Linked DNA regions of Saccharomyces cerevisiae S288C. The protein of the gene in region 2 purifies or fractionates together with the protein of the main gene of each other region. This does not show direct contact. Each region holds a gene or a part of one and is shown on either strand. Other genes may lie near its edges.

Evidence for each region. The genes of interacting proteins can lie anywhere in the genome.
Region 1: the proteins of RRG8 (region 2) and PET130 purify together in Saccharomyces cerevisiae (affinity purification with mass spectrometry, with the first as the bait; 2 studies listed by BioGRID). This does not show direct contact.

The regions. Positions count from the first base shown.
Region 1 is NC_001142.9:395,821-399,933, forward strand, and holds PET130 (Pet130p), read right to left. Parts: upstream 2,579-4,113; coding exon 1,535-2,578; downstream 1-1,534. Other genes in the region: APS3 (Aps3p), read right to left, coding at 111-673, 751-772; BBC1 (Bbc1p), read right to left, coding at 3,117-4,113.
Region 2 is NC_001148.4:755,062-762,337, reverse strand, and holds RRG8 (Rrg8p), read right to left. Parts: upstream 3,691-7,276; coding exon 2,857-3,690; downstream 1-2,856. Other genes in the region: HOB2 (Hob2p), read right to left, coding at 1-2,313; RGC1 (Rgc1p), read right to left, coding at 4,210-7,276. UniProt on the Saccharomyces cerevisiae protein: Required for respiratory activity and maintenance and expression of the mitochondrial genome.

The DNA of each region.
Region 1 (4,113 bases), on a different chromosome or scaffold from region 2:
TATATATTAAAAAAGCTGGGAAATGCCCGGCTCAGCTAATTTTCTTCAAGCCGGTTTTACGTGCAGATCTTGACGAACGAAAATAACCATCATCCGATTAATTTGTTTGTTTATTGCCCCGTTGCCCATTGTGCAAATCCGCCTTGAGCAAACGCTTGTAGTGCGCTTCCAAATCCAGTGGACGTTAGTCTTCCAATTTTACTATCTGTGGACTCGGCAGCTTTGTTGAGTTCGTCAACAGAAGCAACTATTCTGTTCACATTTGTTTCAATGACCATGCCCCCCTGCACGATTTCTTCTAATACACTTTCCAAAGTTTGCCAGTTAAAAATCAAATCAAGTTCATTGACTTCAGTAAAACAACGGTCCAATGATTCCACAAAAGTTTGGATCAGATCTAATATGGCCAGTTCTGATTCTTGATCATCCACGATGAAAGTGAAATATAGTGTAGCGTAGTTTTTATAGATGATTTGAATATCTTCATTGTTTACCTCATCATTATTATTTTCATTGCTTAACAGAAGCGATGGTGGCGTGACTAAAAAAGAACTTTGAAAATCGCTATTCCTTTGAGAAATCAATTCATATACTTGCTCTAATAGCAGTTTTTGCTTTGGAAGGTCGACCGGCGTGTAGAATTTCACTAATCTTGGTTGGCATTTCTTATTGACTATACCAAAAATGATGAATTATGTTAGTAATGTATAATTTTGGCAGAAGAAAAGACCCTTGAGAAATCTTACATACATATTAGAACTGCATGAATCATTGTGTAACGTTATATGTGTTCTGGCCTCTGTAACCCAGATCTGGTATAGTTACAACAGAAATGATATTGTTCCAGTGGACTATTTAAAAAAAATATACTCCTACAACGTAAGAGAAGAAATATAAAAAAGAAATGCGCAAGCCCGGAATCGAACCGGGGGCCCAACGATGGCAACGTTGGATTTTACCACTAAACCACTTGCGCTTACTTTTGATATGAATCTTTCATTCATACTCAATATTAATAAGCAAGATATTTTTTGAAATGAAGAACCTTAATCGAGCCATCGTATTCAAAAAGAAAGAAAAAAGACTGAATGAGAACTATTTTTTTATTGCCTTATAGAGAATTACTTGAGACTTTTTTTTTTTGCCTAAAATATATGACTTTATTTTCGCTTGGCCTTTCTTACCTCGTTTTGTGATTACTCATTACTTACATCAGCGTAAGCTTTCCATATCTATAACATTTATGAAAGTGGAACTCCTCATACTCAAAAGTTATTGCTATCCATTTATATTGTGATCTTACCATTAAGATATATAGCAGATCATAATGGCTTGATTCTAATACTCCTCGAGTATGACCATGCAACGGTTCAAAATCCCGGGTTGTAAATATTTCTTTTATCACGAAACATGAGTGACAACCACTTAGACTCGAAAGTGACGTTCTTGTATTTGCACATTCGATGATAAATATTTAAAACGTATATGTAGATACATAGTGGACAGCAAGAGAGATGCATGGTTGGCCCATTTCTCAGCCTTCTGTTTGTTCTCTTCTTAATTCAAATGGAAACTTGTTGATCTCGAGTATCTTGTTAATTGTTTGAACGTTTATACTGTCATTGAACGATTCTACCCAATTTTTGCCTTTCGTGCCTTTTTTTGGGGTCAAGAACCCATCCCAATCCAAATTGGCAACCTTTTGAACGCTTCTATTGACCTCGTCATTAAATTCTCCTAACATATCTTTATCAGGAAATATGCTAACAATGTATAAATAATAGCCGTCCTTTGCGGTTCCCACAGTACTTCTACCAAGGTTATCTAAAAAACTTTTCTTTGGCTTGCCCTTCATGCTAGCAGGATTAATATTTGGAGATCTGTTAAGATTAACGTACTCTCGAATGGCCTTATCACCATTTAGTTTACACCACTCCTTGATAAACGTTGTTTTCACCTTTAATTTTAAATCTCGTCTCAAGTACGCAAATTCAGAGGGAATACTGTTTCTATGTCTATTTGTAAGCCGTGTCATCGCTGTTTGAATTTTGCTTAGTTCGACTTCATTAGCTTTTGATATCCTAGTTTCATTGAAATATTCTTTGTCCTTGTTGAAAACCTTCCCATTTAAATAAAACTTCTTATTGGATTTTACCGTTATTGCTGGTTTACTTTTTCTAAAACAAGACATAAAATGGTCTTCAGGGAAGTAATGAAGTTGAAAGAATCTACTAGTGTATACCAATGAGTTAGGGGAAAATTTTTTTCCAATCGTCACATAGGCTTGGATGGGTGAAATTACACCTCGAAGTTTACCAGCAACAAATTTCACTGGATCCCAGTTTCTTTCTTCTTCTTTTTGTAAATCAGTTAGCGTACTTAATATAGTATTTTCAGCATTTAAGCACACAGCTGAATTTCCTGAATCGCTTTTTCGAAGGTCACCAAGAGAAAGAGGCTCGGTATTCTTCGTCACTATAAATTTTGAAAAGGGATCACTACTATGTATAGTGGTTGATGGTCGAATTACCAGTTTGCCTTTAGGTTTTTGCGATAAGAGTGTGGAGAATATCTTCATGATTTGGTTTTTCTATTAACCTTCTTAATCTTTTCTTTCTTCATCTGCCATCGCCTTTCTATGTTTTCCGTATTTCTTCCCCGCAAGTTCTTTAAACTCAGATAGTATTAGAATCGATAATTAAGGCCAGGTCAAAGTTCGTATTAATTTCAACCTTTGGGCACCTATATTGGATTAATTTCCGTAAGATAATATATGAGAGCACTATCATGGAGTGATGAAGAAAAATTCAAACTCTAGGGGCAAACCGTTTGTTACGATTGCTCAAAAATTACTGCGTCTGAAGCCAGAATTGTAGGTATATACGAAAAGGTACAACTTGGGATACTATTGACGGCGGTAAGATAAGTGAATCCTACCTTTCGTTTTGAGCCGCTCAAATAAGACCTGATACAAAAACGGTTGTTTAATCTTTGTATAGTTTCTTCTGTAGAAGAGTTATGAAAATATACACTTAAACTATAACGATAAGAAAATGCGAAAGGAAAATGATGAAATCGAAAGCATTCACAATTTCCCCTTGGAAGCATTGGGTAAATTACCAACCTACGTATCCTCTCGCAACAATTCTGAAAACCTTTAACTTCCCACTTTTCATATGGCTTAGCTTGTAGCTGTTTTGAATAATCTTTCCCTCGTGATTTTCGATAACTCTAAACTTATTCTTTGTAAAATCATAATCAGTAACAACACTCGAATACGGAGCGGCGGAGTCCATTCCAACGTTGATAATTTCGTTTTTTCCGATCTTTTTATGAGCTTCAAATTTGGCCTTTCTAATTACAAGAATGTCACCTGGTTTAATCTTCTGTAAGCTCTTCATCAACTGTTCGATTCCTTCTTCAGGTTTATAACTCAATATAGTTGCGCCAAACGTTCTTGCTCCTATGGGTTGTATAACTTCGTCTTTGAATTCGGATACAATTTGTGACACGAAATTCTTAGCCCCAATATGTGAATTTATCAATGAATGAGATTTCTCTACAACTTTCGCATTAAACCTTTGAGCGTATTCATCAAGAATACGTGCTGATTGTGTTTCGACTGGCGATGGAAAGCGTTCTTGAAGAGTCGTTACCGTTTTCTCTGGGCTTGTACTATTAAAGGTCAAGGAGAATCTTAGTTGCGAATAGTTTTCAAACAAGAAGTAAAAATCCCTTACCACCCATTTTTGATGTAATCTTTTGGAAATGAAATGATCATCGATCTCCATCAAAAAGTTCAACTTCAGATTGCTTATAGCAGGAGGTGCGCTTTTATTAATCCACCATCTTTCTTGTGCATTAAACTCTATCTTGACGTTGTTGGAAATCTCGCCTACATCATGCGTCGTTGACCTTCTTATAGAGGCCACCTTCGGTGTAGTATCTGACTCATGGAATGAATCCACAGGACGATTCGTCAATGAAGGCACATGGGGCGGTAGGGTTCGTGATTCTTTTTCTGCCCCAGATAGTACTGAGGTTGGCACACGTTGTTGCGTACTCATCATTGAAGGTGTAGAGGCCGTGACATTTTGATGTGGTGGAGGAGAA
Region 2 (7,276 bases):
ATTATGAGGAAGCGTTAGCTCTATAATCATCTTTCCTATATCTACTCTTAATCTATCGAGAACATTGACAGATTTTACACTGCTCACTGAATTTCGGCTCAATTTTGAATTAGGACGAAATTTTATCCATATACTCCGAATATAAAACCACAACCAGATAATATTTACATCCATCTTAAATTTAATCTTGGGAAGTGAAAAATGAATTTCATCTGAGTCGTTAAAACTCAATAACAAATTGGTAAATTGAATAATAACCTCAGGAGAGGGCTTATACGTAGTGCCATCCATGAAACGATATACGGATGCATCAATAATAGTGAAGTTTTTCTCCTGGCTGTCCGCTAACAATATTGATTCTGTAAAAACAACTTTGGCGCCTCTAGTTACGTCAGATAAGTTAAAATTCTCAGCTTCCACAGGATCCAAATTTTTCGGAAGAAACCCAGCGACCAGTAACGAACATGAAATATCCTTCATTCTAAGTTTCAATGACCAGTTAAATGTTTTCTTGGCTTCATTTAGGTCCCCCAATTTTCCACCATTCGCTTTATGAGCCGCATTCCTTTTTGTTCTGCTAGATATTAGCAAGTAAATTTTGTCAAAGGCGCGACTTAAAGTATGCAAAACTTCAATGTTCTCAAGACTAACGTACGAATGTCTTAGTGTAGACTGAACGATCAATTTAGAATTTGAAAATTCATCCAGAAATGTGTCTAATCTTTCAAAGCCACAGACTGGTATAGACACTGGGTTAGCGTCCTGCTCTGTTGGAATTCTCAGGTAAGAGAGTGATGTACCCACAATTTTAATATAGTTAGATAATTGATCAGATACTAGGGCTGTCTTCGCAAATGGCCAATCCGGACGTATTTGCATTACTTGTCCCTTTTTAGGAGTCATAGACAAGTTGTTACGGCTAAAGAGAGCATGTGTGCTGAAGACCTTAAACGTCACATTCTCCTCATCTGATATATGCAGCCTTGAAATAAAATTCGACATTAGTAGTTCAAAGTTAAAACTGGGCAATCGATCAATATCTAAATCTAAAATATTTAATGATCTGTCGTTTGTGTTAGTACATGATGAGGTCTCAGGGCTATCGAATTTGTCCACTAAATGAAGAACTTCCAGTACTTGATGTATAGTGAGGAATACTGAAGGATTTATAATGTTCAAAATGGAAGATACCTTCGTTCTCCGTAAAGGTACATTGTCAAGTAAAAATAGTAAAATATCTGACGTCAGTATGACATTTCCAAATGGAATTCTAACTGCTGTATTACCATCGATATCTACTACAACAGCATTTGCAGAAAGTGATAGTTCAAAATCGCCCCATGTGGGCTTATTTAAGGGTAAAAGTTCCAAAGCGGAGACATTATTTAGAATGGAGATTGATTCCAAGTAAAGTTGAGCACTTGATATGCGAATTGTAAACTTTTTTTTGTAAATCAACTTTACATTTTCTACCTTAAGGTCCAGAATGTTCAAAGTTTTCAGTGGGTAGTGAAAAGGCTTTAGCATCTTACGATATGAAGTGAGCATTTCCGCATCATCACCAGCAGAAAAAGGCTCAACAGGCTCCGAATGCAAATTCTTCCCTTTCTTCTCTGGAAGATGCCAACAAACATCACTTATTTTGAGACTTGATTTCCAATTTTTTAGTATAACTTTTGTGCAGTTGCTGCCTGTATCATCTTCCTTTCCAATTTTACAGACCATAAAAAAACCAGTATGGTTCAAAGTATCTTTCGTTTCAGGATGGGTAAAATCATGCAAAAATGCCTCTAACTTTATGGTATCATCGTGTGGGTGTGATATCGTTATGGATCCGATATTTAATTTATATTGTTTTCCATTAGGCACTGTAAGAGCTAAAGTATGAAAGAAAGTGGAAAATGAGAACACAAGTTTCAAAATTGATAGGACTCGCCTGTTAATTACAAAGGTAAAAGTTTGATCCCGCGGATTGAAATATGTTCTGGAGTCTTTAGTTGAATGTGCAGTGATATGGCTGTCCTTCCCAAATAACTTCAAATCAACATTATGAAACACAATTCCGGGTTTCCAACCTATTCGCAAGGTTATCTTGCCAATATATATTTGAGCAAAATCAGTTAAGATAAACGCTCGTCTTATTGACGTACCAAAAAAGTATCCAAATGAAATTTTTCGTATTGTGGAATGGCGCAGCATCAATATCCATGACATGAGAATACTAGCGATTTTCTGAATTGATATAATAAAAAGCATAAAGCCTAATAATAGTTTAGACACATCCCTTATTTGAGACCACGGTAACATAGACATTGTAGATTTTTTTTCTTGCAATAAACAGGATACTCCAGCTACTAGATATTATGGATGACAAGCCTACTCGAGAAATTGATCAGCAAAACTAAATTGAATGCTTAGCTTTTAAATGTAAGCCTTTTCGTGGGAAAAAGTGTATGATTTAGTTTTCAAAGAAGTACCTTCTATAATGGTAAATTATTGGTTGTGCTCTTGAATATAATGCATGTGTATGCCCTTGAAGTTTTTAATACAAAGCCACTAGTGCAAACAAATCAACAAATCTATTTACCCTTAATGTTCCTCTTTATCAATCATACAGCCTTGCAGATGGATGGTAAGTGATGGACTATAGAACACCTCAGAGATATTTTACGTAGATGTGCGGGATTAAGGGTTCTGAATTCTCCTGCCCGAGGCGCCCAAATTTTTCATTTTCGGATTGCAAAATGATGCCATTCGCTGACAGCCAGTTTTGTATTCATTGAATAAGAATAATGGCAAATTCAGAGAGACAATTCCAGCGATATATCCCGCTTTCCTTCCTTTTTTCTTCCGCAATCAGTTAACTGAATGAAACAATAATGTACTATAAAGGTGTTTGATGAGATCCTTGTCATTGTCGGCATCCAGGTAAATTCCATTAGTAACTGCATCTTTACTCACGATAGCTTCTAGAGTTGGCTCGTGGAGATAACCAAGGTTAAAGACAGACTGTGTAATTGGTAGCCCTTTACCATGACTAACTACTTGTATTTCAATCGGGGGTGTTTTTCTCTTGTCACAAATGAGTAAAACACGATTTATCGAAGAAGGTCCAACATTCGGTATCACTGAAAGTCTTGCTTTTATAAATGCGTGCAAGTTAGCATTGTATTCCGTTATAAATGTAGAGGAATCAACTTCTAGGCTCTTTGGAGTTGATGTTTGCAATACCGAGATTGGGAACCATGACGTCGCAGCCGCCAAGTTGTCTTGTACAATGGAGGCTGAATTCAATACGTACGAGCTTTTGTATGATTTGGAATAATCTAGTGTAGGTACCAGTTTTAGTTTATCTTTATCAGCATGCTGATCTTTGCCAGTTGATGGTACCACTTTCAATGGAATTAGTAATTCTCTACACGATTTTAATTTTGAGATTTTTTCTGCTCTCATTGGAGAAGCTAAAAGCCTACCATATAAGTTATTTTTTAAATTGAAATTTTCCAAATGGAACTGCCCCACCATTTCCTCTTCATCTTTGAAATAGAGCTTCTTGCGCTTATCCGACCATTTCTCGAAGTTTGTAATGAGCGGAGAAACATCTTTGACTCGTTGGGCACAGTTTTTATTAATGACTCTCGTTGGACAATCTATGAGTAACTTCTTATATGCCGATTTAGGTAAACCCATATTTGATTTTGAGAGGTTCCCAGGAGAATTCACAACAAAATATTATTCGAAGGCTCCTATCGTCATCATGTACCGTGGCGCATTGCCAACCTGTCTTATAGAAAGGCCGATGTCGTAAGCGGACCGGAAAACTGGAGATGAACAGGCATTGCCAATCCTACCGCCACTGTAAAAAACAAGTAAGAAAAAGATAATTATGGACGCTGGCTTTCATTTTAAAATAACATCAAGTTCAGATGATACTTCTGAAAAATACCCAATCAGGAATCTATTTTTATTTGGTAGAAGACTACTTTGTTTACTTATAAAAACATGATAACTATCTAAGAATATATGAACTGATTGCGTTTAACTTAACTTTTCCATTTTGTCTTAATCTTCTTCGTTTCCGGTAGTTAATGGGTTTGTATTTTCAGCAGGAACATGACCCAGGACTTTCTTGTTGCTTATTACACTTATCAAGGAACCAAATGACATGCTCTTCATCTGTGCAGTCTTATTGGACAGGTTTTCATAGTGTCACTTACTTGACGCGGATGTAGCAGGTACAGTATTAGTACTTCCCTCCTTGCGCGAGTGAAGAGACTTATCATTCGATACAGTAGATGTTAGTGGGACGTTTTCCGCACTATATGTCTTTTTCAAACTGCTATAAGGAGCTTCAACACCTTTAGATGTAAGCGGTTCCTTCAACGTTAGACGTGATTGTGAGGCGCCCTTCTCATTGCCGTAGATCAATCGTGAGTCATTACCTTCTTTCCTTGGACCACATTGATGGGGAATATGACAAGCTGAACTTTTGCGAGAGCCACTGCAGTTTTGAGTTCTGTTTTCCTCGAACAATGGAGACTCCATCTCAAAAGGTGAAAGATCTGACCCTCGTCTTGCTTCCGAATTGCAATTCAATGGTATTCCAAAATATCCGTTTGCATTACCATCCAATGCTAGACAACTGGGTGAAACACCTGGTAAGTTCATTAATGGCGAAGGATAAAAATCAACCCGTTGGTTGTGAATGGATGCAACACTGGAGGCACGAGACGATTTATGACTACTATCTGAATACGCGCTTGCCGGAATAATGGCTTCATCCCCATGATTACTAACAGCTATTTGAGGTACCTCTCCGGGAGCCGATGCTTTTCGCGAAGAGGATGCCATTAAGTTATCTGCTGACCGGTTGTAAAGCATACCTTCCCCAGTATAAGGTGAATAAGGCGATTTGCAAGGGGTTCTAATTGTGTAACTCATACCATTTTGTGGAGCACTGTTTTTCGTTTCTCCCACTATGGCCAGATTACCATTTTCATCAATGGCTGGTGTATTGACTTTTGACCTGTATACGGAATTCATAGCGCCTGCATTCATATTTGCGCTTTTTGGGATGTCTATATAACGAGGACGATTTGCCCTCTTCCTAGTGTTTAACGTGGTAACAGAGGAAGATGGCGTTACTTTTTCAGAAAGGTTAACAAAACTGTCTACTGGAGTGATATATGTACTGTTTTTGGACCTTTGAGAGCTCTTTCCATTATTATGGTTTCTACTTTTCAGAATCTTTTCTTCAATGAAGTTCGACCTCTCCTGAGTAGAATTGAAACTTGTAAGCGCTTTTATGTCCTGAACCCATTTCTTGAAATTTTTTGATTCCTCTGGAGTTGGTTCAAGACTTGCGGAAAATATTTTAAACGTCCATTCAACGCGCTTCTCGCAAATTGACTTCTTATTGATGTTAGCTTCTTCTTTAGCCTTTTTTTGTTCCTTGGGCACGGAAGAACTCTTTAGAAATTTCGGAACGGACACCATCGAGAGAGCTGAAGGCGTACGTTGATGTTTGCCCTTATTTGAAGCAAGCGTCTTTGTTGGACATGCCAAATCTGAGGTCGTGCTTGATTCTTTTGTACATGTGTCCTCTGGTGAATGATAACTAGCATACCCTTGTAAAACAAAAGTTGAGTCAGTACTATCCTTTAATGAGCAATCATTTAAAGACAAACTAGAGATAGGATATAGATTCGAAGAACTCAAACCCTTTCTTCTCTTCGTCAGTTTCGGATCCTGTGTCCCTTTGCTCGATGGGTGACTGCCAGCGTTAGTCCCATCCTTATTCACACGGCTAATGTCTGATTGTTCAACAACAGGTTTATTTTTTGAACGGGGAGACTTGCTGTCTAGAAAGAAATCGCTGCTTTTGAATTCGTGAAGATAATTTGTAGTCAACACAAAATAACCTTTAGTAAAACTTTTAGAAGACTCTGTTTTCTTCAGTAGATATCCTACTCTAATGCATTTGGCCAGCGGCGATTTCATGTTAGGATAAACAATATCAGATAATCTTCTGGGTTGCGGTGGCGGGTCTGTCGATTTTAAATTCATCAGACAGGTAGGATGATGAGAGACAAAATTATCCCACTCTACAGCCGGTGGTCTAGATAGAATACCTTGCTGCAATTCATGGCACAAATTTTTGATCATTAATCGTGCTTCTGAATCAATTAACGCTGAGTAGCGCTGTAATGCGGATTGAATTTTAGAATATACTATTTTCTCCAGTTGTAGTGCTGCTGATTGTAAATTCAGAAAAGCTTCTCGAAGATAGTTTTCTTCGAGTAATTGTCTTTTCAGCTGCAAATCTAGTTGTAATTTCAAAAGGTATGGATCGTGTTTTGGTTTTAATTTTTCACCTTGCTTATCGCCCGAAGTGGATGCTTCATCTAATAACTTCACTGAAGCAATATATTTATTCAGAAGCCTGCTTGTTATTTTGATATGCTCGCCTATGTTAGTCTTGAAATCTCCATTTAATTCTTTAATTTCTTTCATCTTTGTGGTCAAATCCTTACGCAAGTCGGTCAATTTGGGTATAATATATGCCAAGATTTCCTTAGAGATCTTATATTGTTGACTACCCAAAGATAAATGGTACTTCTTCAAAATCACTTGAATATCTTGAATGGATCCTGACCCAAATTTCATGAAGCCAGAAGAAGCTGAAGCTACCTCTTCCGAAGGTACTGATTGGATTGACTGCGGCTGTTCCACATCTGTGTCGTACTTGCTGTCCAATTTTTGAGCGGCCAATGGGACAGGCTGAGGTTTCTTAGTAGGCAACTTAGATATACTTGGATCAACCAGTTTGTTTGTTTCATCTTCCAAATCAGTAAGAAAAGCAAATTTTACGGCATTTTTCATCTGGTAGTTGATCCTTGCAATTTGTTCCTGAGAGTAGGCAGCTTCTCTGAAGTAAGCGATCAAACTTTTCAAGATTTTCTTCCATTTGTGAAACCTATCAATCAAAATATCTGTCGGATACTCTCTAACAAACTCCCCGGAAGTTTCGTAAATGTTCTCCACATCTAAATCAGAAGGATCAGCCCTGTTAACCTTTTGTTTAGCCCTCGCCTTACCTTCACTCTTCGGCAATTTTTTAGGTATAGGCATGTTAATATAGTAGGGTGACCTTGGGTCTGTCTTGGGTAATATATACTCGTCAAGTTTTATGTCCTTATTCTCTTTGCCATCTGGCCCGTTCATTTGCGTATTTCCAGATGCTGGCTCATTTTTCAGCGTCAATGAATCAGGAATC